4 linked regions of the Coturnix japonica genome follow. The protein of the gene in region 2 interacts with the protein of the main gene of each other region in a biochemical or structural test. Links are inferred from orthologs where the notes say so. Each region holds a gene or a part of one and is shown on either strand. Other genes may lie near its edges.

Region 1 (5,929 bases), about 79 Mb from region 2:
AGAGGAGAACCCACATTTTGTAGAATATAATTCTTCTAAAATTGTCTTCTCTTTTGGCAGCAGATGAAATGCAAGCAAAAACAGAAAAGGTAAAATCTTCTCTGAAGAATGTGAAAAAAGAAGTAGGAAAAGCAGAGAAACTGAAATATAAACCACTCACTGGGAAAGTGTTTTACCTCGATATTCCATCAAATGTGATCTCCGAAAAAATAGGGAAGGATCTTAAAGAATTAGGAGGGGTAAGTTCATGTTCAAAGTGCCCAATGAAACTGAAAGAAAACCTGCAGCTGGGATGTCTCTCCATGTACTGTGCTGCTGTGTTTTAATGTTACATTTATTTTAGATGTGAAGGGATTTTATTTTTTTCATGTCATTTTAGTGTTTAGTATAGATCATCGGCTTATCAAGAAGTTGGTTTTGTGGGGTTTTTGTTTTTACTAGGAGCTGTTCTTCTGTGTGTAGCAGAAGTTTTTATCACAGAGGTTCATTTTCAGCTGATGGTTCGTTTACTTAGTTTTTTATCCAAGTGCTGTAAGTTTGTGTTTGAAGCAAAGTGTTTCTGCAACCTTGGAGTATTTTGACACATGTAAACATGTTATAGCTAAAGTTCTTCTGATGAACCCGAAAGAGGTTAGAGGAAGTGTTTTGCATATGTTTATGGAAAGTCTCGTGTTCTTTTAGCTTGGTTTGGGGTATTTGTTAAGGTTGTCTTTTACTTGAATGATCTGATGGAGTTTGTATGCATTTAATCGAATCATATATAAGATAGCATTTCTTAGATTTTCTAATACATTTTGTGTTTAGAGGCTACTTAACTAAAAGTATAATGGGAAAGTGGTTTGGCTTATTTTTTTTTCTCAAGTACGGGCTGAGGCTTATAAAGGCTGAGCTGGAGTACTGTCACCTAGCAGAGGGAGGAGATCTACACCTCTCTTGGCATTCAGGGCAGGTTGTGGAGGAAGAACCGAAGAAAGAACTTCAGTGCAGTTGTTGGGCCCAAAAGGATGTAGAGGGAAACAAAAAGTTTTGAGAGATTGGCAGCAGAACATCAACTCCTCAGTGTCATGGTTGAAATGTGAGCTGAATAGAGCAGGGGAGTTAGGAAACAGGACCAAAGCAGTATGAGATGAGGTTTGAAAAACAAACGAACAAAAAACTCAACAACCCCACACTGACTTCTTGCATATTTTTTTCCTTTTTTTTTTTTTTTTTCTTTAATTCTTTTAAGGCATTTAGTTTTTAAAAGGTTCTCTGGAGTTCTTTAAACAAAGATTTGTATAGCTAATTTCACTTACATTCTGGATTTTAACCTTAATGTTTTTAAGTACTCGTCTTTCTACCGTGTGCAAACAGCCGTGAGAGCCACTATTTTAAGAGCAATACTTCGTCCAGTTCTGGTGGCATTATCACAAGAATGGCCGATAAGGCTGGGGTGCGGTGAGGAGCTGCAGCAGGAAATTCAAATGCTCTGTAATGTCAGCTGAGATGATCAGCTCCAGCACTGGAACAGGCTGCTCAGAGAGCTGCTGGAGTCTCCTCTGGAGATGGAGATATTCAAAGCCAGCAAGAAATTTTGGTGGTTAAAGTTGTGTAATACTTTCATAGTCAGGTTTTTACATTTCAGCCTTAGCATTTTACCTCAGTAAGACATTTCAGTAAATGCTTTCTGCTTAGAGTATGCTAATGAAAATTAAGTATTAATGTTTAAATTGTAAATTCTGTAAGCATCTTGTTAATAGTTTGTTTCTGCAAATTCTCTCTTTTGTGTGTGTGGGGGGAAGAAAGTATTTGATAAAAGCAAGTGAAATGTGAGCAGTGTAAGTACTTGGGCCACTTTGAAGTTGAATATTTGGAATTAGTTTAAGGGTATTGTGGTAATACAAGTATAAAATTTCCTTTAGCCAGTGTAGAAAAAAGGAACTACTTAAATTGCAAATTGTCTTGAGTGTTATTTTGGCAGGAGTTTTTGGTTATTTTTACTAGAGGAGTGCTGAGCAGTTGTATGAAATGAATTTCAGACAGCATCCTGACTAGTATCAAAGTCAGTAAGTTGCCATAATAAGATTTCAGGTTACAGATATCTCTACATTCAGCACTGAACTAGAGTATTTTATCTTTAGAGCAGAATTTTAGGAATTCATTTGTAAGCAGTAAGGTTGCAAGTCTAAGACTGAAAATAAAGCTTTTCTGTTTTATTCTGGGGAGTATGTGCATAAATCCTCAGATTTAGGCCCAGTGCCCTCAGGGTCACCTTCCACGTGTTTCTTTGTTGCTTCTGTGGGGTGCACTCAGAAACCTCCGTGTCCCATTTCTGTAAAGTTTGTAGAGAAGAATGAGAAGGTGCAGTTTCAAACTTGCTGGCTCTGATTTTTGCTTTCCACACTGATTAGTAGAGAAGATAAAAAGACTTTAAGCTACATAAGCTAGCAAGAAATCATTAGCCAAATAAAACTGATAACAGTACAATGGCAGGTAGTGAAAGATTGAAGGAGCAAAACAGAAGAGAATGAACATGGGGAAAACTTAAGTTTTTTTTCAGTGAGTTTGAAAATGCTATTAACCTATTCAAGCTAATACATTTCACAGGAGTGTTATGAATACTGTAGGTGTGAAATGGGGTAACTATCTTGAAAACTCAGTTTTCAGGCAATAAACAGGACCCAAGGAAGTGGCCACAAGTTGTATCAGATGAGGTTTAGACTGGACATAAGGAGGAACTTTTTTCCTCAGAGAGTGGTCAGGCACTGGAATAACCTGCCCAGGGAGGTGGTGGAGTTGCCATCCCTGGCAGTGTTCAAGAAGCATCTGGATAGGGAGCTAGGAGACATAGTTTAGGGGTTTTCTGTAGGTATGGTAAAGGGAAGATAGTTGGACTAGATGATCTTATAGGTCCTTTCCAACCTTGTGATTCTATGATTCTGTGGCTTCTGAAGTTCATTGTTAAATCTCCTTGTAAACTGTAAATTATGTTTGCATGTGCATCTTTGAGCTAAGTTTAGCTGAACACTTGGTAACTTCTGTTAAATTACATAAAATTTGGCTTCCTTTGACTTATTCTGTAATTTCTCAGTGTGCCAAGTTCTTCTGTATGGAAGGTATTACAGCTCAATTCATCAAGGAATGGTAATAATCAAAATAAAGCAAAGTTGCTTTTTTGGTTGGGATTAGAAAATCGGAGAAGTGAAACTAGGGTTTGTCACTGGTAAGATCTTACTACGGTTCAGTTGTTGTTGTCATGTATATATTTTAAATGTCTTCCTGATAATTCTGTTTTATGTGCGTAATAGTGGATTTGTTTAGTTGTAGTTTTATCACTTTTTTTTCAGTGCACACAAAGCAAAAAGGGAATTACTACTTTGCTGTCCTGAAGTAACATCGTGCTTTATTTATTTTTATTTAGAGAGTGGAGAGTTTTCTTAGCAAAGATATCAGCTATCTCGTGTCCAGTAAAAAGGAGGCAAAATTTGCACCAGCACTTAGTCAGATTTCTCCAGCTCCCAGCCCGGAATCTGTGTGCAGTGGAGGAAATGGTACAACTCATCCCAGCGGCCGAAAAGATCGACAGGATGGAAATTCATTTAAGGCAGCAGATGCAGTAAGTTTCTATTGTAATAATGCTGTAAAACGACTACAACCTGGGAGATGCGCTATCAGAATTTTTCTCCTGTCTTGTTTTCTAATGCTGTTAATGCAAATAGCCACAGAAGTAGTTTTTGATGGTATCACAGTATCACAGTCTTGTGCGGGTTGGAAGGGACCTTAGAGATCATCGAGTCCAACCCCCGGGATTCGAGCCTCTGTGTAGCAGAGCGGCACTTCTACCACTTGCGCCACAGGGGGGATTCGAACCCAGGGCCTCCGGTGTTGCAAAGTGGCGTCCTTAGTAGTTCAATAAAATAATTGCAATTGAACATTATCAGGTTTAGTTTGTTTGGGTGTTTTTTTTTCTTTTAGTTCTTAGATGATTGTGTTAATTTCAGCAGTTTCTGAGTTTCTGCAGGTTTACTTGAAGTCTGTTTCACTGTCAAGTTTAGTTCCCTTTCTATCCTAACTGTATCCTTGATACTTATTTAGAAATGTATGTGTGGGACAGTCTGCAGGTTGGTCTTTGCACTGGGTGCCTGAGGTCACCCCATCTTGACAATCATGTGGATAGGTGAAGGCACGTTCATTATGAATGTACAGAATATAGTATAAAAGAAAAGGTGGTGATAATTATGGCTCAGGCTATAGTTACATTCATGGCTGGTAGCTAAATTTAGCACAAGGTCAATTGATGACACCTCATCTTTTGGTGTATCCCGCAGGCTGCCCGTTCGTACCATCTGTCTTGATCCAGCACTTGACATTGCTTCAGCCGTTCAGTGACCTGCTTTGGTTGAAAAGTACTTTGTCTTTTTTCCCCTCAGAATGTATGAACCCCAGCCTTGTATGAAAAATGAAAATTAATGAAAAATAACTGAAATAAACCAAAGGAGATGATCACAGACTTTTGCTAATAAAAATTTTTAAATTTGCTTTACCTTTTACTTTCTGAAATGAAATCTAACTTGCTACGAATGTCTTTCTGTTATAATATAGGTACGTTTGAGCAGAGGAAAATCCTTAGCTGAAAAAGCAATCAGAGAGCAGGTAAGTTGAGTAATCCATACATTTGTACTTGAGGAATTTTGGTCCTGTGGTTCTGGAAAACAAGCACTAGTAAGAATGATGGTGGGTCTAAGACGGAGGTGTCTCATGGGATGTTCAGGCAGGAATTGGGGAATTGTTCTAAGCATAACTGTCAGATGATGTTTTCTGGGTAGTTCCTGAAGAGCTGAATGTCTTATAGTCTTATAATCGGTATTATATTTTATCAAGGTTGTAATTGTATCTAGCATTTGAGAAGTGCTTGTGAAATTATATGTACAAATCCATTGTCTTCAAGTATTGCATACTATAAAGTATGACAGTAGAGAAGGCTCTTGGCTTTGTGAGATGTTAACTGTAATCCTTTGATAAGTGAAGTGCAGTGACATGGAGATGGAAAAGTCAGTTGAGGATATTTGTAAGTATTTTGGCAAGAAGTAAATAGTCTACAGTCAGATCTCAGCTTTCATAAGATAGTTCTTATTACAAGATGTAGTATATTGATATTTATGACAGTTTATTTGATCTACTGCTGAAAATGAGAATTTTTTCTTTTCACAGGAACTAATCCCCTCTGGTAGCATACTGTCCAATGCTTTGAACTGGGGTGTGAAAGTACTTCATGTTGATGGTAAATAGCTTTGGTGAAGCATTAATTGAACGTTTTCTTTAAACTTCTTTGAGTTATAAATATTAAAAATGATGAATAACTTCAAACATGCAAAAATAAATTCAGCTAAATATAATTTTCTCTTTACTAGATGTTAAGCATTACATTGAACAAAAGAAGAAGGAGCTCTACCTAATCAAAAGCACAGGCAGTTCTTTCAAAGATGTGGTAAGTGGGTTTTAGCCATTTGTAAAAGCTAATGTGATTAAATGATAGAAGGCAGGCATATTAAATATGGCCTACTGTGATGCATACAGATTTTATTTTATCAAGTCCTTCTCACGTTCTGTTTTTCACTGACTAGTACATTTTATGAATTGATTTTAAGACCATCACCTCAATGACATCAGTTGTTTTTGCAGCGTATAAATAAGTGCTGCTTTAGGAAACAGGACTGTATTTATTTCCTGACGAGCTTGATTTCTACCAAATTTACCACAACTCCGGTAAATAAGTCATGATTGTCATAGGGAGACCCTCATGAGTTAAAATCAAGTACTGAGATAAAATGTGAAATATAATATTCACAGGAATTCTGTTTTCCCTTTTTTTTTTTTTTTTTTTTTTTCAACAGGGAAAACAAGTTCCTGCACAAAAGTCCAAAAGTAAGTACTTCAGTATTTGTAGAGG
Region 2 (5,421 bases):
CTGAAATGATAAAGACTCAGAAATCAAAGCTTATGCAGTGGAACTGGCTTTCCAGTCAAATTAACAACATGATATGAGGATGAGTTGATAATGGTTTGGAAGGGAGAATGTAAAAAAAGGAGAAATAAAAAAAAAAAAAAAGCAGGAGACTTACTGTGTCAGACTGTGCTCGGAGATCCTCAAAAAGCTGCTGATACTTCAAAGCTGGTGTTTTACCTTTGGACTGGATAAGCTTCCTCAAGGCTTGAGCCAACTCCTCTTTCCGCTTACGAGCGGTTGCGCTCATTCCTTATAACAAGAAAAAAAAAAATCACCTTTTAGTACTAAGTTGGAGAGGAAAGGTTTAAGTTACTTCTTAAATTGATTAAAGCCCCCAGACATCTAAGTTTTATCACTACAAAAACACAAACCTGTAGTGAGGATGGATATGTCCACAATGCCAGTCTTTGGGTCAGTAGCAGACTGCTTCAGAGCTTCCCGATGGAGACGTTTTGCTTCTTCTACATCAATGATTTCAACTTTCTCAGAAAAGCGTACCTTAGCGTGGGCTTCTGCCAGTCGGATCAGAGACTCAAGTTGTCGAGGATATGCAGAAACCATTCCCCTGCCACTTCCAATCTTCCTCATGTCCACATATGCCTGAAAAGCAGGCATTAACTATTTCAGTAAATCCCGTTACTGCCCTAACTTACAAGTCTCTTTTATCCCTTGTGCGCTATCCCTGACTATCAGCAACTGTGGAAAGCTACACACTTTCAAACATGACAAAATCAAGTCAACACCCCAAAAAGTAACCTAAGGATTACAATACAGAATTACTTTAATAGTACTTCCCTCTCTCCTTTTAAAAGCTTGTGATTTTTAGAGGTTTTTGATAGGTAGGAAACAGAAATAGTTGGGCATTTTGCCCTTTTTGAGAAGTCAGCAAAGACATGGAACATTCTTAACAGCAATTACTTTACCTCAATAAGGGCTTGGCTTGCTTCCTCACTTAACCTGGGATTTATATAACTGCGAGCAAAGGCAATGTAATCCCTCAGTACTGCCATGTCCATGTACTCCTCCTCCAGCTTTTCTTCACTTTGGTAGTACAGTGAAACTAAATGGCGAGCAAGACGTCTGTCATAGGCTTCATCACGTGGGTCCAACATTAAAAAGATCAAGTCAAACCTGAACGGAATAAGAATCAAATATGAGCGTGTATATTTTCCTGCAATTTAAAGTTGATTCTTTTATGGTTTTTCACTTCACAATTAGATTTAGGAGATACTACTCCAAATGAAGGGTGCTCTTTAAACTGAAAGAGTACTTTTCCCTCAAACACCTTTAAATACAAAACACTACAGAACTGCAGCTGGCTAGATCACCGAGTCTAACCCTCAGATCAGTTTGAATTTGCTTTCAACATATGCACTTTGAAGACAAGATACATTTTGTGAAATTTGGTTCAAGGCAGACTTGGTCTTTTTTCTTTGGGAGTTTTAAACAAATAACACAGAACAAACTTACTGTAAGAGCTGCTGCCCTGAAAAGCAGCAGCAACCAAAGTGCATAACTATTCACTATATTCATATAGATGTATATGCATTTAAAATAAATACAAAATATTAGTTCTGCACACAATAGGTAACATTGTAGGTAACTGTAAATAATAATGTTCTAGCTAGTTAGTCACGTATTTTCAAAACCTTAAATCCAATAAATGGCAGAAATGAGACATGCTCAAACCTAGTTTCCTTCGGTATATCCCAGCTAAGGTACTTACCTGTCATTGTCAGCAGCCTTTCATTGAATTCTGAACTATAAATGGTGTTCTCAGAATATCCAGCATACCATCCATATACTTTAAATTAGTGTAGGAACTGCTCACCAGATGCAATTAAAGTACATAGCTTAATTTCACATCTGCAGATGCTACATGCTGTTTTAACAGCTACTGTCCAAGGAGATCTATGCCCCCTCCCTGACTGAATTTCACAGGATGAAAACAAGCAGGCACAGAACTTTAGAGTCCACCACATCCAGTGCAAGTTCCCTAATCATCAGTGTTTCACTTCAAACTTGTGCAGGGTTATGAAAATCATGCTGGGTTTCCATTCAAGTTACCAACTACTGTAAGGTTCAAGGTAACTCCTCCAGAGGATGATCTTGAGACAAGGGGGAAGGAAAAAAAAGCCAACAAAAGAACACAACAAAGATTAAGATCCACAGATTTTATCAGATCTTCTGTTCAAGATGAATAGACTAGAAGGTAGATCTCCACTCATGCAGAAGCTGCAATTCTGATTCTACCATACTGAATCCTTTTCACAACAGGTAAAAAAAACATGAGACATGTGAAGGGTTCAGTACCTTGATAACAGTGTGTGAGGAAGCTGGATGTTTTCAATAGTATTCTTTTTTGGATTCCATTGTGATTCTATTGGGTTAGCTGCTGCTAGAATAGATGTGCGAGCATTCAGTTGACAAATGATTCCGGCCTGTTAAAATGAAAAAGCAGTTCTGGATTCAGAACCTTCATAAGATCAGTGTCATTTAAAGGGTTTCATAATAGAAAAACTCATTGCAGAAGCCTACTAGAGTAAAGCAAGAAGAAAAGCATCTGGAAATAATACAGTTCATGCAAGGATAGCCCTGTGTCCATAAGCACGAGATGTTATATAATTTAGGATTGAAATCCTAACAACACCGGAAAAGTACAACCCTGGTTCTGGCAACTTCTTGGTTTCATCTGCCCTGAGCTGATGCTTAGAACAAAAAACTTGGACTTAAGCAGACACCAACCTTTGCAATGGAGAGAGTCTGTTGTTCCATTACTTCATGAAGTACTGATCTTGTGCTTTCATTCATTTTGTCAAACTCATCAATGCAGCAAATGCCATTATCACTGAGTACTAAAGCGCCTGTCTGAAGAACCAGCTGCCGAGTTTCTGGATCCTTCATCACATATGCAGTAAGACCAACCGCACTTGAGCCTTTCCCAGAGGTATACTGGCCTCGAGGAACCAGGTTATACACATACTGGAGTAGCTGGGATTTACTAGTGCCGGGATCACCGCAGAGAAGAATGTTGATCTCTGCACGGAAGTTGCCTCTACCTGTGCGAGTGAAATCCTTTCTTGATCCTCCAAAGAGCTGAAGTAGAATGCCCTGTTAAAAAAACAAACGTGCTCTTTAAAGTCAAAATATCAACTCATTTGAAGTCTCATTTGTATAGCAAACAATTAAAGAGTACTTGCAATTCAGAAATGTTTTACAAGCAAAATACACAATTCCTTTTACCTTTTTGATATCTTCATGCTCGTAGATACTTGGGGCCAGTGCTGAAGAAAGTCTCTCATATATGTCTGCTTTAGTAGACAGCTCTTTTAGAAATGCCACACGTTCTTCTGTAAACATTTTTTGCTCCGTTTCCTCATCAACACCGTGCAGGCGTTTTGAATCAGTCTTGCGATAATGTATGACATCAATGTGGGTCTTATAGACAGATTTTACAACACTGACCCTCGGATTAACTCGAACTGGGACTGCCCTGTAGATGCCTAAATACAATTAATGACAGCATTAGATAAAAGAAACATATTAACTAATATGTCTTAAGAAGCGTCCAATTGCCAGACAAGCAGACTCATAGATTAAACTACTACAGTTCAGTTAAAAAGGAAAATGCAAATAAAGTAAATTTTACCTGTGACATTAATTCTATCGCCTGGTTGAACTTTATCAACAAGGTCATTGTGAGCAAACAGTGCAACCGTATGAGGTGTCTGTCCGGCTGGCATATCTTCAGGGGATTCCTGCAGTTTGATCTAGCAAAAACAAATAAAACCAAGTCGAAAGTAAGAAAAAAAAGAAAGCTGTACACAAGGTATACAAGATCTTGTATTATCACAGCTTCCTGCATCATTTTCAATTAGGAACTTTCCTTCTCAAGATGCATACCTTCATGCTGTGATGATATTAGGGGAGATGGGAAACAAGAACTGGAAAAAAGTTTCATTTTATCCAATATCAAAGCACAACGTACCATCTGTTTGTCAGAAAACATGGACCTGTTGTGAATCAGAGCCATACTGTGCGTCGTGTTACAGTTCCTGCACACTGATGGTTCAGCAATCCTGCCGCGGTCAATTTCTACTCTTGTGGTGAACGCGCAGACCTGGCACTTAAAGAATGCTTCTTGCATCTCAGGAATTAATTGGGAGCTCCTGATCACCATACCGCTGATGGTGATAAGCTGATCAATGTCTACAAAATACAGATGCTTATGTCATCACATCGCAGTCTTTAAATTTAAAATAACATTCAAAGATCTACATCCTGTTAGTTTTTAGGTGGGAAGTGGACATCCAGTTAGAAATGACTATTTTGTCATAGACAAAACAAAAACTGTCATAACTGTAATACTAATATACTAATATAAGTGAGTATTCATACAGAATAGTCTTCTACTCTTGCAGAAGTAAGAACATGGGTAGCTGATGACAGATAGACTTCCTTTGGAGATATGTTCTCCATTTGGACTCCACAGCATTTGATTCCAAAACAGACTTAAGCAAAATGAAGTACATTGGTATGGATGGACCACAAGTCCAGTTGTAAGTAGTCTATACATAAATTGTGTGTTAGAATGTAATAAACTTATGTAAATCCTTCAGATTGTTTTTCTAACGCGGCAATTTAGAGGTTTACCTTCAGGGTTTAGGCTTCTCATATTCCTAGTCTTCAGTGCATTGTATGGTCGCACTTGAATTTGATGTTCTAATATGGAATCAGGATAGCGATCAAAAAAGATCTCATTGGCAGCCATGTCAAACGTTGGGATAACTTCCTGTGTAGAATTGATAGGAACAGTTAAGCTTAGAAGAGAAAAAACCCCCCACGTGCTAACAAACCAGAAGCCTAACAGGATATTTCTGCGTAATACATTTTAAAGTGCTGCTGATCTGCCAGGGATGTCAAGAAACTAAATAAAAGAGAACACACTGTGTTTTCCTACATAACAGGCAACTTACCATAAAATCAGATTTACTTATTTGACTGTTGCAAAAGGAAAAGACACAATGCAGTACTTGGTACAATGAAGTTTAACAGAACATTTTGTATGCAGGAGACACCTATCACAAGGTCTAAAACCTTTGGACTACTACAAAATAAGACGTTAAAATGAAGAAACGATTACACTAAACATAGAAATTACACACTGCACTTAAACAAACGTTCATAAACAGGTAAAAAGGTCACTAAACAGCCAGTAGACAAGTGCAGTACTTCACCTGAGGATAGCAGATGAGCTGTCTGTAAAGATTTTCATCAAATGCTCTTAGGTGCTCACAATTTACATTCAGAAACGGCTCCCCAACCACATTAATCTGCAAAATATTGGAAAATAAATCAGCACATAAGGCTGGGGTAAAAGAA
Region 3 (5,380 bases), on a different chromosome or scaffold from region 2:
GTACTTGCAATGTGGTTATGAATCATGCTGGCAGTGAGCTAGTGAGTAGCCTATCTTCAAATAGTTACCACTTCATGATAACTTTAATTGAGTCAGTGTGATGCGCAACACTTCTATGCTAGAAATGGACAGAGGTAGTGAAGAGACTAATCAACTAAATGCCTTCCTGGCTTCTCTTTCCTGTTAGCATCTCCCATGCTTGTGGACACATCCTTCCGGTCCCGGCCTGAGGATCAGATGGGAGATCCTATAACTCTAATGACTGTGGGAGAGTATGCAGAAGACATTCATCAGTACCTCAGAGAAGCTGAAGTGAGTATATTTTAACAAATGTAAAGCTGTGTAGGATCTTCCTTAAAGGCTGCAATACTGCAAAGCCATATGGCTGTCACACACTAACTCTAGGCTGTCACTGAACAAACAGTTAAAGCCATTACTGGAGCTTAGTTCTTAGAAATCTTCTAGACAGTGATGATGTTTTTCAGGCATTACTCCACATTCTGAAGATGGGATGTGAGTAGATTATTGCAAAATACTAACGCATGTGACTTCAACGGCTGTTCTGTTTCTTAAATTGTCTTTCTAAACAGGTGAAATACAGGCCCAAGCCCTACTACATGAGGAAGCAACCAGATATCACAACAGAAATGCGTGCCATCTTAGTAGACTGGCTGGTGGAAGTAGGGGAAGAATATAAACTTCGAACAGAGACACTGTACTTGGCAGTGAACTACCTGGACAGGTTTCTCTCTTGTATGTCTGTTCTCAGAGGGAAGCTGCAGCTTGTAGGAACAGCGGCAATTCTTCTGGCAGCGTGAGTGTTTATCTCATGAAATCTTAGTGAGATGAACTTATTTTTGGACTTTTAGTTTAATTTGAAGGACTTTAAGCTTGTGGTGGTAGGTAGGTTTTCATGCTGTCCTAAGATGGTGCCCCATCCCTGGAGGCTTTCAAGGTAAGGCTGGATCAGGCCCTGGGCAACCTGTGTTTGTCTCTGCTTATTGCAGGGACTTGAACCAGATGATCTTTAAAGGTTCCTTCTAAGTGTAAGGATTCTAGGGTTCTGTCATTAGCCACTTAACATACTTTAACTCTTGCAAAACTAAGAATTTAATATTCTTTATTAAGGAACTGTAGAGGGAGAACCTTGTAATCATAATACCAGAAGCAAAAACAGTGCTGTATTAAGCCACTAGCCCATAGTAGGTTAAAAGTTGCAATCTGCAATTAAACTTAAACTGCTTTAAATAGGCAGGGTATCCAGCAAAGCCTAAGGGTGCATGGATTTTTGTCTAGAGTGCATGATGTTACTGACATTTTTTCCTTAAGAGTTTTCTTATTCGTCAAGAGTGCTAGTATGAGTGTATGACTATTTAGGCTGATGACTTAGAGAACATCTTTGCCTTCCCACCAATCTGATAATCAAGCCTCTCCTATACTAGGGAAATCTTAAAATAAGACCTCTAAGCCTGTCTTAGAAATGTCATATGCTCACCTTGATGTGGGCCCAGCAGAAAGTTCTGTTACTTTAACTTTTAAGTTCACAAATCTGGCTTTTCTGTTTTTTTTCCCAGGAAATATGAAGAAATCTACCCTCCAGAAGTGGATGAATTTGTGTATATAACAGATGATACATATACAAAGAGGCAGCTGCTAAGAATGGAACACCTGCTTCTCAAGGTTTTGGCTTTTGATCTCACAGTGCCAACCATCAACCAGTTCCTACTTCAGTATATTCACAAGCATGGAGTCTGTTTCAGGACAGAGAATTTTGCAAGGGTATGAATTACCATTCTTTTAAGATAGATTTGTAGGCTGCTACCATCAAAATGCAGGCTTCCGTGCTTCATTATTTCTGGATAAATGCCTGGGAATGCTGAGCTTAGCCTGTGTCTGGTCAACTAGACTATCTTGGCAGCAAGGTCTTAGGAATCCTTTCTTCAAATGAATATGCATGGGAAGCCTGACCTGGACATGATGATTCTTCATGTTGCTGCCCAATGACACAGCATATTCCCACAGAATGCTTGGGGAAACAGTGCTTCAAAATGGTGTGTCACACAAGCTTATAACAAAACCTCTGACTTGCTGCTTAGCTTAAAACATCTGAGATTTGTACAGCACTTATTCAAACAGACGAGATTTGTTTCTTAGGTGCTCATTTAGCCCAGGTCACCAATTAAGTGAGGTTCAACCATGTGAGCAAAATCATCATAGGAAGAGATGATGATGGTGGTGGTGTGTTTTTGTGGGGGCGTTTTGTTAGACAAAACATTGCTGTGATTTTTTTGTAGATAGGTTTAGAAGATTTGATTGGAATTTATGCGAGTCTTGGTTATTTAGGCTTTGACAGATGTGTGATCTTCCTGCTCCTGCTGGATGATGCTGAAAGTCCTGTAAGATCAACAGGACTGGAATACTGCCTACCACTACCTATCAGATATGTAGCTCATGTTTCTTACATAGAACTGAGGACCAACCAATTCAAGTGCTCAGTATATTGGCATAGCTCTACCTGATAGAGCCACTCTATTTGAAAGACTTGTGCTTTTTCTTTTTTTCTGTTAAGTATCTTGCAGAGCTGAGTCTCCTTGAAGCCGATCCTTTTCTGAAGTACCTTCCTTCACAAACTGCTGCAGCAGCCTACTGTCTAGCAAACTATACAGTGAACAAATCATTCTGGGTAAGAATAACTGCATACTGATGTTTAGCTCAATTGTTTTATAACTAGAGACCTGCTGAGAAGTAGGAGTGGCTTCAGATCACGTTACTGTAAAGTCTGAAATGCAAGGATGAGCAGCTTTTTCCAAGCTAATGGCTGTATGTAATTAACAAATGTTAAACTAATCTGAATTATCTTGCCTTCTCCCTGAAATGGAAAGGTCCTTTCTGTTTTCACTTAACATAAGTGTGCACCTTAGGCCTTGTCAGTAGGTAGTCTCAAGTTTCTACCCTAGATAGAATTCAGGGGCTTTTGGGGAGGGGGAGAGAGAGCTGAATGCCACTACACTGAGTGGCAGCTGTAATAGAAATCTTGATAGGCCTGTCAGGTATCTGTGCTTTAGCAGGAAGCAAAATGCAGAAGAAACATAATGAATGCAGTGGACTTAAAGCAGGAGGAAGTTCTTCTCAGACCTGACACCAAGGAAGACTTCCAGTAAATCTGATGGTGGATCTCAAATCTAGAGTGAAAACAGTTCTTGCTTCTATAGAAGCATCTTACCTAAAGTAGAATAACATGTTTTTTTTCCTCCCCTTACCAGCCAGAAACACTTGCTTCATTCACTGGATATTCATTAAGTGAGATTGTGCCTTGCCTGACTGACCTGCATAAGACATGCCTTGATGCTCCGCATTGCCAACTGCAAGCAATTAAGGAGAAATATAAACATCCTAAGTAAGTAACCAAGAAACTAGCATTTCCTCACTTGGGGGTTGTAGGCACAGGATGATTCTGCTTGAGCAACTTGAGTAGTAACTCTTATAGTTCATAAATTCCTTATACTGGACATATTTTGTTGCTGACTTTGAAGCCTTCCTCAGCATCTTGAGGGGAATACTCTTCTGGACAGGAAAGTAGTTGATTCACAGATAGACAAATGTAGTGGATCACGATTCTATTGCAGTATGGCTTGATGGCTTCTTTCCTACTGTGCTTCATCAGAAGGCTCCTTGCAGTACTTTTACATCTGTCACCTAAACTATTAGTTTCATTGGTTGTATTTCTATTCCAGGTACCTGCAGGTATCTCTTCTGGAGCCCCCAGCAGTTCTTCCTCTACGCTAGAGATGGTGGATCCTGGACTTAGGTTTATTTTGTCTCAATGAACAAAGCTGGTCTAACATCTCATAGAGCACTGCTGGTCATGCGTCTGTGATCAGAAGTATTTTTAGCTAGTATTTTTTAATTAGATGTCTTTTTAAAAAAGTATATTAGAACATAGCTCTTAATATAATTGACAGCACTTTTAATAAATGTCTTATTACACTTCCTCTGAATCTTTTGATTCCAGTTAATATATGCAGTAATGGTGCGTGGAAAGGTTTACTTACAAAATCACTGAGATGGGCCTTTAATAGAGCTGGAATGGGTCAAGTGGTAGGTCCTTCAATCCAATACATTCTACACAGATATGGTTGACTACTTCTTATTCTATGACAAGATGATGTGCCCATGAACAGAAACTACTTTCTGGGATTTGTCTGCGGGTGCCAGAACAAGTGGTCTATGAATACTGACGACTGTTGATGCTCAGCTAAAAATTCAACTCCCATTACGGTGTGGTAACACAGGATTTTCTCTGGGGAGGTGGGTGAAAGGGAAACTGAGGCTTTCTAGAGAAACCATCACTCTTAACAGAAAGGAGCAGGCAAAGGGTAGGAAGCTTTCCTTCCCAGTTCTTAACTATCTTATCCTGAGCTCTGTTATCTGTACAGAGAATTATGTTTTGAAGCAAGGATATGCTGAATGCTTGACATTGACATACAGTTCAACAGTTGAAATACTAGTTAACAAGCCTATTGCTTTATAAAACCTGATCATACCAGTGTCTGTGTCGTGAAGCTGTTAGCTTCAAGTGTTTCACTTTCTTTGATAGGCACACAAACTTTCTCCTGCCTCTTCCATGTGTAGGCTCACCAGTCCTGCTAGGGATGTAGACTATACTGTATGTCCCCAAAATGGGGCAGGGGTAATAACTTGATTTTACTTAAACAAAATAACCTGTAAGGGAGGGGAGCACTCAGTTTTGAGCCTGCCCTGTGCAGTTTTTAGTTTCATTGCAAAGCTTGCTAGTAAAATGCATCTGTGTCACACTGACAGATGTGACCAGGTATCCCTTACTGACATCTCTGGTACGCATGTTATGATTGGAGTTAACACTATCAACCTTTTTGCTGCAATAAATTTCACAGCTTATGGGTGAATGGTCTGAAAGGTGGGCTATCTACTGTGCCCATGCATTCAGGCAACTCCTTTAAAGTAGATGGCTAAGGAAAATGGCCAGAAGCAGCGATGTCTAGCTACAGTGTGGAGTGGAGGGTTCCTTGATTCATTGTTTCATAATGGAAAAATAAGTGTACTGTATAGTCCTTCTAAATCTGCCAGCTATGAGTACTGGCTTTTTTAATGGTGTTTCAGGCTGAATATGAACTGTCCTGAAACCTCATGTTAATAAGCCTTAATTCCCTTATGAGGTACTGTTGCTTACTGAATTGCAAGCGCTATAGAGCTGGGTATTTTGGAAGCACTAATGAATGCCTCAAGTGTGAAATTGTTTTCCTAGTGCTCTAGCAGTTGCAGGTATTCATACAGTCATATCAAGCATAACAATGAGGAAGAGTTTCAGTCTGAGGAATTCTGCTACTACGGTCACATCTGA
Region 4 (6,544 bases), on a different chromosome or scaffold from region 2:
TGCCAGGGCAGTAACAAGCTGTGCTTGTAATATACTAGTAGTATACTAAGTAGTTTCTAATTTCTCACTTTAAATTTCTGAGTAAATAGTGGGATGTAAAGATTTCCTACCTCTGCCTGTGCTGGAAATATTTATCAGTTATCTTTTTGGGATCTTTTCTTCGAGACTGAAGCAGTACAAGCACAAGGAGACTTATGCTAGCTTAATTGACCTAGGAAGTGGTTGATAACTGTGTACCGGCATCAACACAGACTATTTTTAAATCTGTCAACAAAAAAAATAATTCATTCACCTGCAGATTCTGGCAGCAGTGGATGAAATCTCACAGCAAAGTTTTGATCCTTTCTTGGAGAGCTCCCAGAGGTTGGCTTTGGCAATAGCTTGTCAGCCTTAAGCAACGTTCTTCTCAGGCCTGGGTTGTCATTTGGCTTCTCATCCTACAGATCCAACCTAGAGATAAAGCCACAAAGAGGAGACAGTTCAGCAGTTTGACTTGAAAAGCATTAGACATGCTGCTTTGTTTGTCATATTTGGCTGACGCAATTTCTTCTCTTTTATTCTGAGAAGTTCTGCCTTAGTACATTGTTAGAACTGGAAATTCAGTGTTGAATGAGAAGATGGAGGCTTCTCTGCCCCAACAGCAAATAAGGAAAGGGATTTCTATTTCCCCAAGCCAGCATAAAAGGAATGTTTCTCATGCTTTAGCAAAGGCACAGAAGCTGTGTTTTTACGTATTTTACATTCATTCTGAAAAAAAAGCAAAATTAGCTAGAGATACTTAAGCAAGAATTAAGGAAATGGAGCAGAAACAGTATACATAATCTATCATTATTTTGTTAAGATGTACATGAAGAAAAGTTGCCTTAATGAAGGGGTGAATTTTGGGAAGATATTTTTATGAGAGCCACACTCAGCTTGACTGAACTTCTCCCTTAAGCAGATGAGAAGCTAGGACATAAAAAGCACTTTTAGAGAGATAAATGAAGGATAACATCCAGGCTGGCATTTCTGGCAGACTAAGAAGAGTAGGACAATAAAATAAGAGACAATATCACATTTTGCAAGTGCAGTTATGCTTGTGAGAACAAATACATATAAATTTGACATAACAGAGAAGCTGAAACAATGGAAAGACAGCACAAAGGAGCACAATGCATTTACATCAATATGAAAGGAGGAAATGGAGAGGGAACAAGAGATCAAGGTAGACAAATGATGAGGGTCTAAATGAAAAGGATTTTAGGTGCTGGAAGGAAGAAAACAGGTATCACAGAGAAAGAAACCACAGCCATATAGAATCTATTTTGGAAGATAAAATGAAAGGGATTTCTCACTGCCCGTGAATGTAAGCTAAGTGGTAGGGAGAAAGATAGTATCAATATTGCTAACAGGAATGCCAAGAATGGAAGCCTCATAGAAGGGGTGATGGTTCGGTACATAGACCCTCACAGCACAAAAGCAGACAGCGCAAGAGGCAGGCTGCAATTCTGACCTGGCCATGAGGCAGCAGAACCGAAGACACAGCTCATATGTAATCACACACTATTTTGCAAATCTTAATTTGAAAACTATGGCAATGCAGTGCAAAGGAGTGTTCAATGTTTCTGACTTCTAGAAGATTACAAGGGCAAAAGGGAGAGCAGAATTTATCTGTCGTAGTTTTGTCATTATCCTTATCATTATGTTTGCTATAATCTGCTCTTAAATACCCTCAGCCATAACCTGTTAAGCCTGACTGTATTTAACTGAGCAAAATCTCTGAGCACGAGCTGCTGCGCTGCTTTGAGAGCTCTAACAGAAAGTGCCAACTAAAACTGCTGGGGGGGGGGGAAACAAAGCACAAAAGCAGCTTAGCGACGTGTTCGGGCACCCGCTTTCGATCCCGTGTAACAGGGCTTGTTTTTCACCTCAAAATAACGACCACAAGTCTGGATAAAAGAGAAAAGGAAAAAAAAAACCACAAAAACAACAACGTACATGGAGTAGCCTCGCTCCATGCTCCTCGCAGACTTTGAAGAACGGAGCTGAATTGATGGCAGATCTGAAAAGAACCAGATCTTACCCGGGGCTGGCAATTATTTCGCATTAACCCCATGTGGAGAGAACCAGAATGAGGCGGGCCGTTACCGCACACGGACACCCTGCAGCCCACACGGGCACAGTGCACAGCACGGCCCGGCGCCACACAGCGCGGGCGGCGTGAGGGAGCGCAGCTCACTGACACCACAGCACAACAAGCCCTCAGCCCGCCAGCCCCGCCAACGGCCAATAGCAGCGCTCCTCCCTGCGGCCCGCCGTCCCATTGGCCGCGACCGCGGCTTCCACCGAGGGCCGGGATTGGTCGCTGAGGGGCGGTCGGCAAAAGGCGGCAGCGGGCAAAATTCCGGCGCGTCGCGGCGGCCGCGTGAGTGACTGAGAGAGTGAGAGAGTGAGTCCGTGAGTCCCCGAGTCCCGCGTGTCCCCGAGCCCCTCGCGCCCCATTCCCCGCCGCACCGCGGCCGGCCCCGCGCAGCTCCTCGTTATCATCGGCGGGGCTTGCTCGTCCCCCGCCTCCTCCGCGGTCCCTCGGCGCTTCCCCTGCAGCCCGTCCCCGAGGGAGGGCCCCGCTCTGCGCCGGGCCGGGTCGATACCCACGCACGATCCCGTCAGGACAAGGCGGGCCGGGCGGCCCCGCTTCTCCGGGCCCTGTAGCGCCCCGCGGGGTCCGGCCCCGTTTCCCGCACGGCGCATGCCCTGCAGCTCCCGCCCGCCGCTATCGGTGCCCACAGGGCGGTGTGAGTGTGTCCGAGCGGAGCTTGGCTGCGTGGGCAGCGCGTAACGCCGAGCCGCTGTGACACGGTGCGGGTGTTTGTTGGCCCTTTGTCTGCGGGAACCGGCGGGATCGAGCTCGTGTCCTGTTTGCGCGGCTCCTCGTGCGCTCACGGCGCTGCTCGAGTCGTGTTGCTGCCGGTGGCTGTGTGGCAGTTGATGCTGCAGCCCAGCACAGCCGCTGAGCGCTCCGGACCTGGAGGTTTATGAGCCCTATGGGCCGCCACCGCCTGTGTCTCGCTTATTTCCGTGCCATGGAGAGCTGCTTGTCTGGGATGGGAGCTGGGACAACCGCGGGTGACTTGAGCTGAAACTTTGCATCACATCCGTCTTCCTCTTTTTTTCTCTCAGATGATCCGCTTTGGATATTTCCTAACATAAAAACTAGATGCTTGACTTGATCAAACTCCATCAGGTTCAGTTTTATAACCACGAGGCCCGCTTCCAAGTTTGTAAACTGTGTTAAAATATATTGAGGTATTCCAGGCATTCAGTTCTGCAGCCATCAGAACCTGTTTGACACAAAGTAATGGAAGGGGCACCCTGAGTTACTGAGCCCCCTCCACCCTGCCCATATTCCTGAGGTCCTGCAGGCTGAGCAGCTTTGCTTCCAGCTTTCTGAACAGGCAGGTTCTGGAGCTGGGGCTGGTTGCAGTGAGCACTGCTGTGTGCTGATGGGCTCTCCTTGCTCTGCTGATGAGGCCATGCTCAGTGCATTCCTTGCTCCGCTAATGAGGCTGTGCCATGACAGGTTTGGAACAGGCTTGTCTGCCTGGTCAGCACTAGCAGGGCAGTGCCTACCTGTGAAAGGCTGCAGTGCCACCTCACTGCATAAGTCTCTCAAGTTGTGCTCTCCAGCAAAGTTCTCTCGCAGAAAGAGGCTGTTGTCTGTCCCCATTGTGCTGCGTGAGAATGACAGAATAAAGGTAGCCAGGATTCTCCGGGGACAAAGTGTATTTCTAGCTCACTGAAATAGATGAATCCTTTCATCTGGGAGTTTTTCAAAACACATTCCCCCCCGTTGTAGAAAAGTTCAGGCAGAACTTTGTGGGCTCGGCAAAGGTACAAGCAAGGAAGATCCTCGAGCAGAAAATGGTGCCACTGTGAGAGGCGGTGGTGCTGAGCTCCCTTGTCACTGTTTGTCCTTTCCGGGTGCTCCACGTCTCTTTTCTTCACGAAATAGGATTATCTTTTTTATAACTGTACATTAGTACAATAAGTTACACCTTTTCTTACAAGACTTGGGAAGAAGCATTTCAAAATAAATATGCTCTGTTACTTCTTTTATGAGGGATTAGACCAAATAACGATGCTTTTGGGTTATGTTCTAGAAGAGGGAGAAATTTCACACATTGAGATTTTCTCCTATACGTTTTCAGGTTCTCTGTCTTTGTAGGGGTGCTGCAGCGTACGATGCAGCTAATGCCATGTGGACTGGTTCCTCACTTTTCAAAGCAAACTTAAGGAAAAAGAGCTTTAACATGAATGAGCAAACACTGCCAGATAAAAGAAAATCATTTGTCTCTAACCATATCCTGCTTTCTTCCTTCTTTTCTTTCTTCTTGCCTTTTACTGGGGATCAAGTGGGTTTACTGGTTTGATTTTTCTCTGGGATGGTAGATGCCTTGTGACTCTAGGCAGCACAGAGGAACTCCTCATTCTTTGCATCTCATTTTGGAAACCGAGTGCAGGGCAATGAAATGTATTATCAGGTGTGTTTGCTCCCTCAAGTGTCCAGAAGTGGTTTTCAAGGTCTTGGATGTTTTTTCTTTAGTTTTGTGATGGAGACAGAGTCAAAGTCGCACTGTGATGAACAGCACCCTCATCAGGCTGAAGACACAAGCAGAAAGCATGTGCAGAACAGCAAGCTTTCAGGTGCGTGCTAAAGCAAGGACTGCTAACAATACGTTTTGGTGTTGATGTGCTTCTTCATCACTACAGGAAGTTTCAACATCAATTATCATATTGTATAAAGATTCGATGAACTGAGAACATTTGAAATCGCTGTTGACATAAATTATTTCTGCTTTCCATGTGGCTACAAAAGTTCATCAGCAGTAGTTTGTCACAATTCCTTTATCCTATTTATTGATTACCTAATATATTATCTTAAGGGATAATAGAATTCCAAAAGGGACTTCTTGAAGATAAAATTCCCTTACCAGACAATGTCTCAACAATAATATTTTGCCTTTCAACATGTAATAACCAGCCTTGGCCTTAAATATCTGTAGATGTGTTGGTGTGCACAAGCACACTGTTCTTGGTCATGCAAGAGAAGCTTAACTACAGACACGTACGTTTTGTTACTGCTTTTATTTTGTCTGTTTATGACTTCTTAAATCTGGGTGTTCTGTACACAGGCACCATCCTTGCTCAGTAATTGCTGGTGGTCAGACAGTTTATATATAATGGCTACTGATTTTCCCAGAAATAGACCTCTGTCATTTGCTACACATCCGTGTCCAGAATTAGAGCAGTGCTGAATAGCATTTAATGTCTCACTTTGCAAATGCTTTTCATACCGGGAAGTAAATAAATTATTTTAAAGTCTCACAGAAAATGTTGCAAAGAATTTCTGCATTTTTAAATTGTGTTTGGGCAGCAATGGGGCGAGCACTGTGCCCAGCTGGGGATTTAGGCTCCTGGAAGAGAACAGATGATGTTCATGCTGCTATCAGCAAGGACAGTCAGCATTCGTTTCATTTTGGGATCTTTCACATGTAAAGCTATGTTGACTTGCTAAATCCTCTCAGTGCCTGGGGTATGTACACCTCTGGCCTAGGATCACTCAGTGGTTAGAGCTCTGATAACGTTCAGCTCTTTCAACTCAGTTGCACAAAACCAAGTAGCTGGCAGATTGTATTGCAGCTTTTTGTTATTGTTACTATCTACCGTAGGGCCATTGGTCCGGTGACAATGTAAAGTCAGCTTAAAGTCTGAGCTGCTAGTGTCTGAAGACTTAAAAGATGTGTGATTCAAGTCCTCATTGGAGTCATTAGCATTTTGCCAAGGTTAAGTCCTTTTTTCCAACCAGACAATTTTACTGGAGCAGTTCCAGTGCAAATTCTGTGTAATCAGTAAGAACTGGAGCTTAAGCTCCTCTTTTCAGAAGTCAAACTCATATATGAGCGCTGGAACAGAGCTGCAGGTTGCTTCATTTGGAGCAGGTTGCATAGCAATCTAGTTCTAAACGAGGCAGTTCTGACAGAGCTGTTAAGAACCGTTTCAGCATTTCAAACCATTTTCTATGTCTGTCCTATTGCACACGGCCTTTAGACAGGAAGGTCTTCTAGGAGATTTTAGAACTAATAACGTTACTATCCAGTTGAGTGGTGAGGCCCATGTTTTACCAATCCATGCTTTGTTACAAGCATATTGGTGATACTCCGAAAGTAATTCTCATCACTTATAACTTCATGTTCAGGTAAAACATGGTACGCTTATGTATACAGTACAATTTATATGTTTGTGAAATTGAATTTGTTACTCATTTTTAGGATGAAAATGATAAACTTTTGTTTTTTTTTCCATTCGATGTATTTTCCAAATAGCATTTTTTTCATACTTCTGCATAATCAAATGTTCTTTAGCCCTGCTTCATACTCAGCTTCAAGAGAAATAGAGAACAATTAAAATAGAAGTATTCAGGAACTGAATGTAAAACTAAGTTTTGAAAGGAATGCAGTACAACATCCTTGTCCTGCCATCTAGTGATTGCAGCACAAAGTACAAT

What was found.
Region 1: of the proteins of MCM4 (region 2) and DBF4, one has a biochemical effect on the other in vitro, tested with the Homo sapiens proteins (2 studies listed by BioGRID). The link is inferred for Coturnix japonica from reciprocal best matches to the Homo sapiens genes MCM4 and DBF4.
Region 3: the proteins of MCM4 (region 2) and CCNA1 form a complex in vitro, tested with the Homo sapiens proteins (2 studies listed by BioGRID and IntAct, with this or other methods). The link is inferred for Coturnix japonica from reciprocal best matches to the Homo sapiens genes MCM4 and CCNA1.
Region 4: of the proteins of MCM4 (region 2) and CDC7, one has a biochemical effect on the other in vitro, tested with the Homo sapiens proteins (2 studies listed by BioGRID). The link is inferred for Coturnix japonica from reciprocal best matches to the Homo sapiens genes MCM4 and CDC7.

The regions. Positions count from the first base shown.
Region 1 is NC_029517.1:18,957,356-18,963,284, forward strand, and holds part of DBF4 (protein DBF4 homolog A), read left to right. Parts: intron 1-60; coding exon 61-239; intron 240-3,400; coding exon 3,401-3,595; intron 3,596-4,581; coding exon 4,582-4,632; intron 4,633-5,190; coding exon 5,191-5,260; intron 5,261-5,390; coding exon 5,391-5,467; intron 5,468-5,873; coding exon 5,874-5,904; intron 5,905-5,929. UniProt on the Homo sapiens protein: Regulatory subunit for CDC7 which activates its kinase activity thereby playing a central role in DNA replication and cell proliferation. Required for progression of S phase.
Region 2 is NC_029517.1:97,602,643-97,608,063, reverse strand, and holds part of MCM4 (DNA replication licensing factor MCM4), read right to left. Parts: intron 5,373-5,421; coding exon 5,277-5,372; intron 4,832-5,276; coding exon 4,693-4,831; intron 4,249-4,692; coding exon 4,028-4,248; intron 3,810-4,027; coding exon 3,689-3,809; intron 3,543-3,688; coding exon 3,283-3,542; intron 3,151-3,282; coding exon 2,785-3,150; intron 2,481-2,784; coding exon 2,353-2,480; intron 1,171-2,352; coding exon 963-1,170; intron 640-962; coding exon 411-639; intron 289-410; coding exon 155-288; intron 1-154. UniProt on the Homo sapiens protein: Acts as a component of the MCM2-7 complex (MCM complex) which is the replicative helicase essential for 'once per cell cycle' DNA replication initiation and elongation in eukaryotic cells.
Region 3 is NC_029516.1:154,341,526-154,346,905, reverse strand, and holds the end of CCNA1 (cyclin-A1), read left to right. Parts: intron 1-187; coding exon 188-312; intron 313-590; coding exon 591-814; intron 815-1,574; coding exon 1,575-1,779; intron 1,780-2,569; coding exon 2,570-2,683; intron 2,684-3,263; coding exon 3,264-3,397; intron 3,398-3,734; coding exon 3,735-3,786; 3' UTR 3,787-3,998; downstream 3,999-5,380. UniProt on the Homo sapiens protein: May be involved in the control of the cell cycle at the G1/S (start) and G2/M (mitosis) transitions. May primarily function in the control of the germline meiotic cell cycle and additionally in the control of mitotic cell cycle in some somatic cells.
Region 4 is NC_029523.1:12,593,534-12,600,077, reverse strand, and holds the start of CDC7 (cell division cycle 7-related protein kinase), read left to right. Parts: upstream 1-2,306; 5' UTR 2,307-2,404; intron 2,405-2,759; exon of another isoform or gene 2,760-3,105; intron 3,106-4,582; 5' UTR 4,583-4,589; coding exon 4,590-4,683; intron 4,684-6,544. UniProt on the Homo sapiens protein: Kinase involved in initiation of DNA replication. Phosphorylates critical substrates that regulate the G1/S phase transition and initiation of DNA replication, such as MCM proteins and CLASPIN.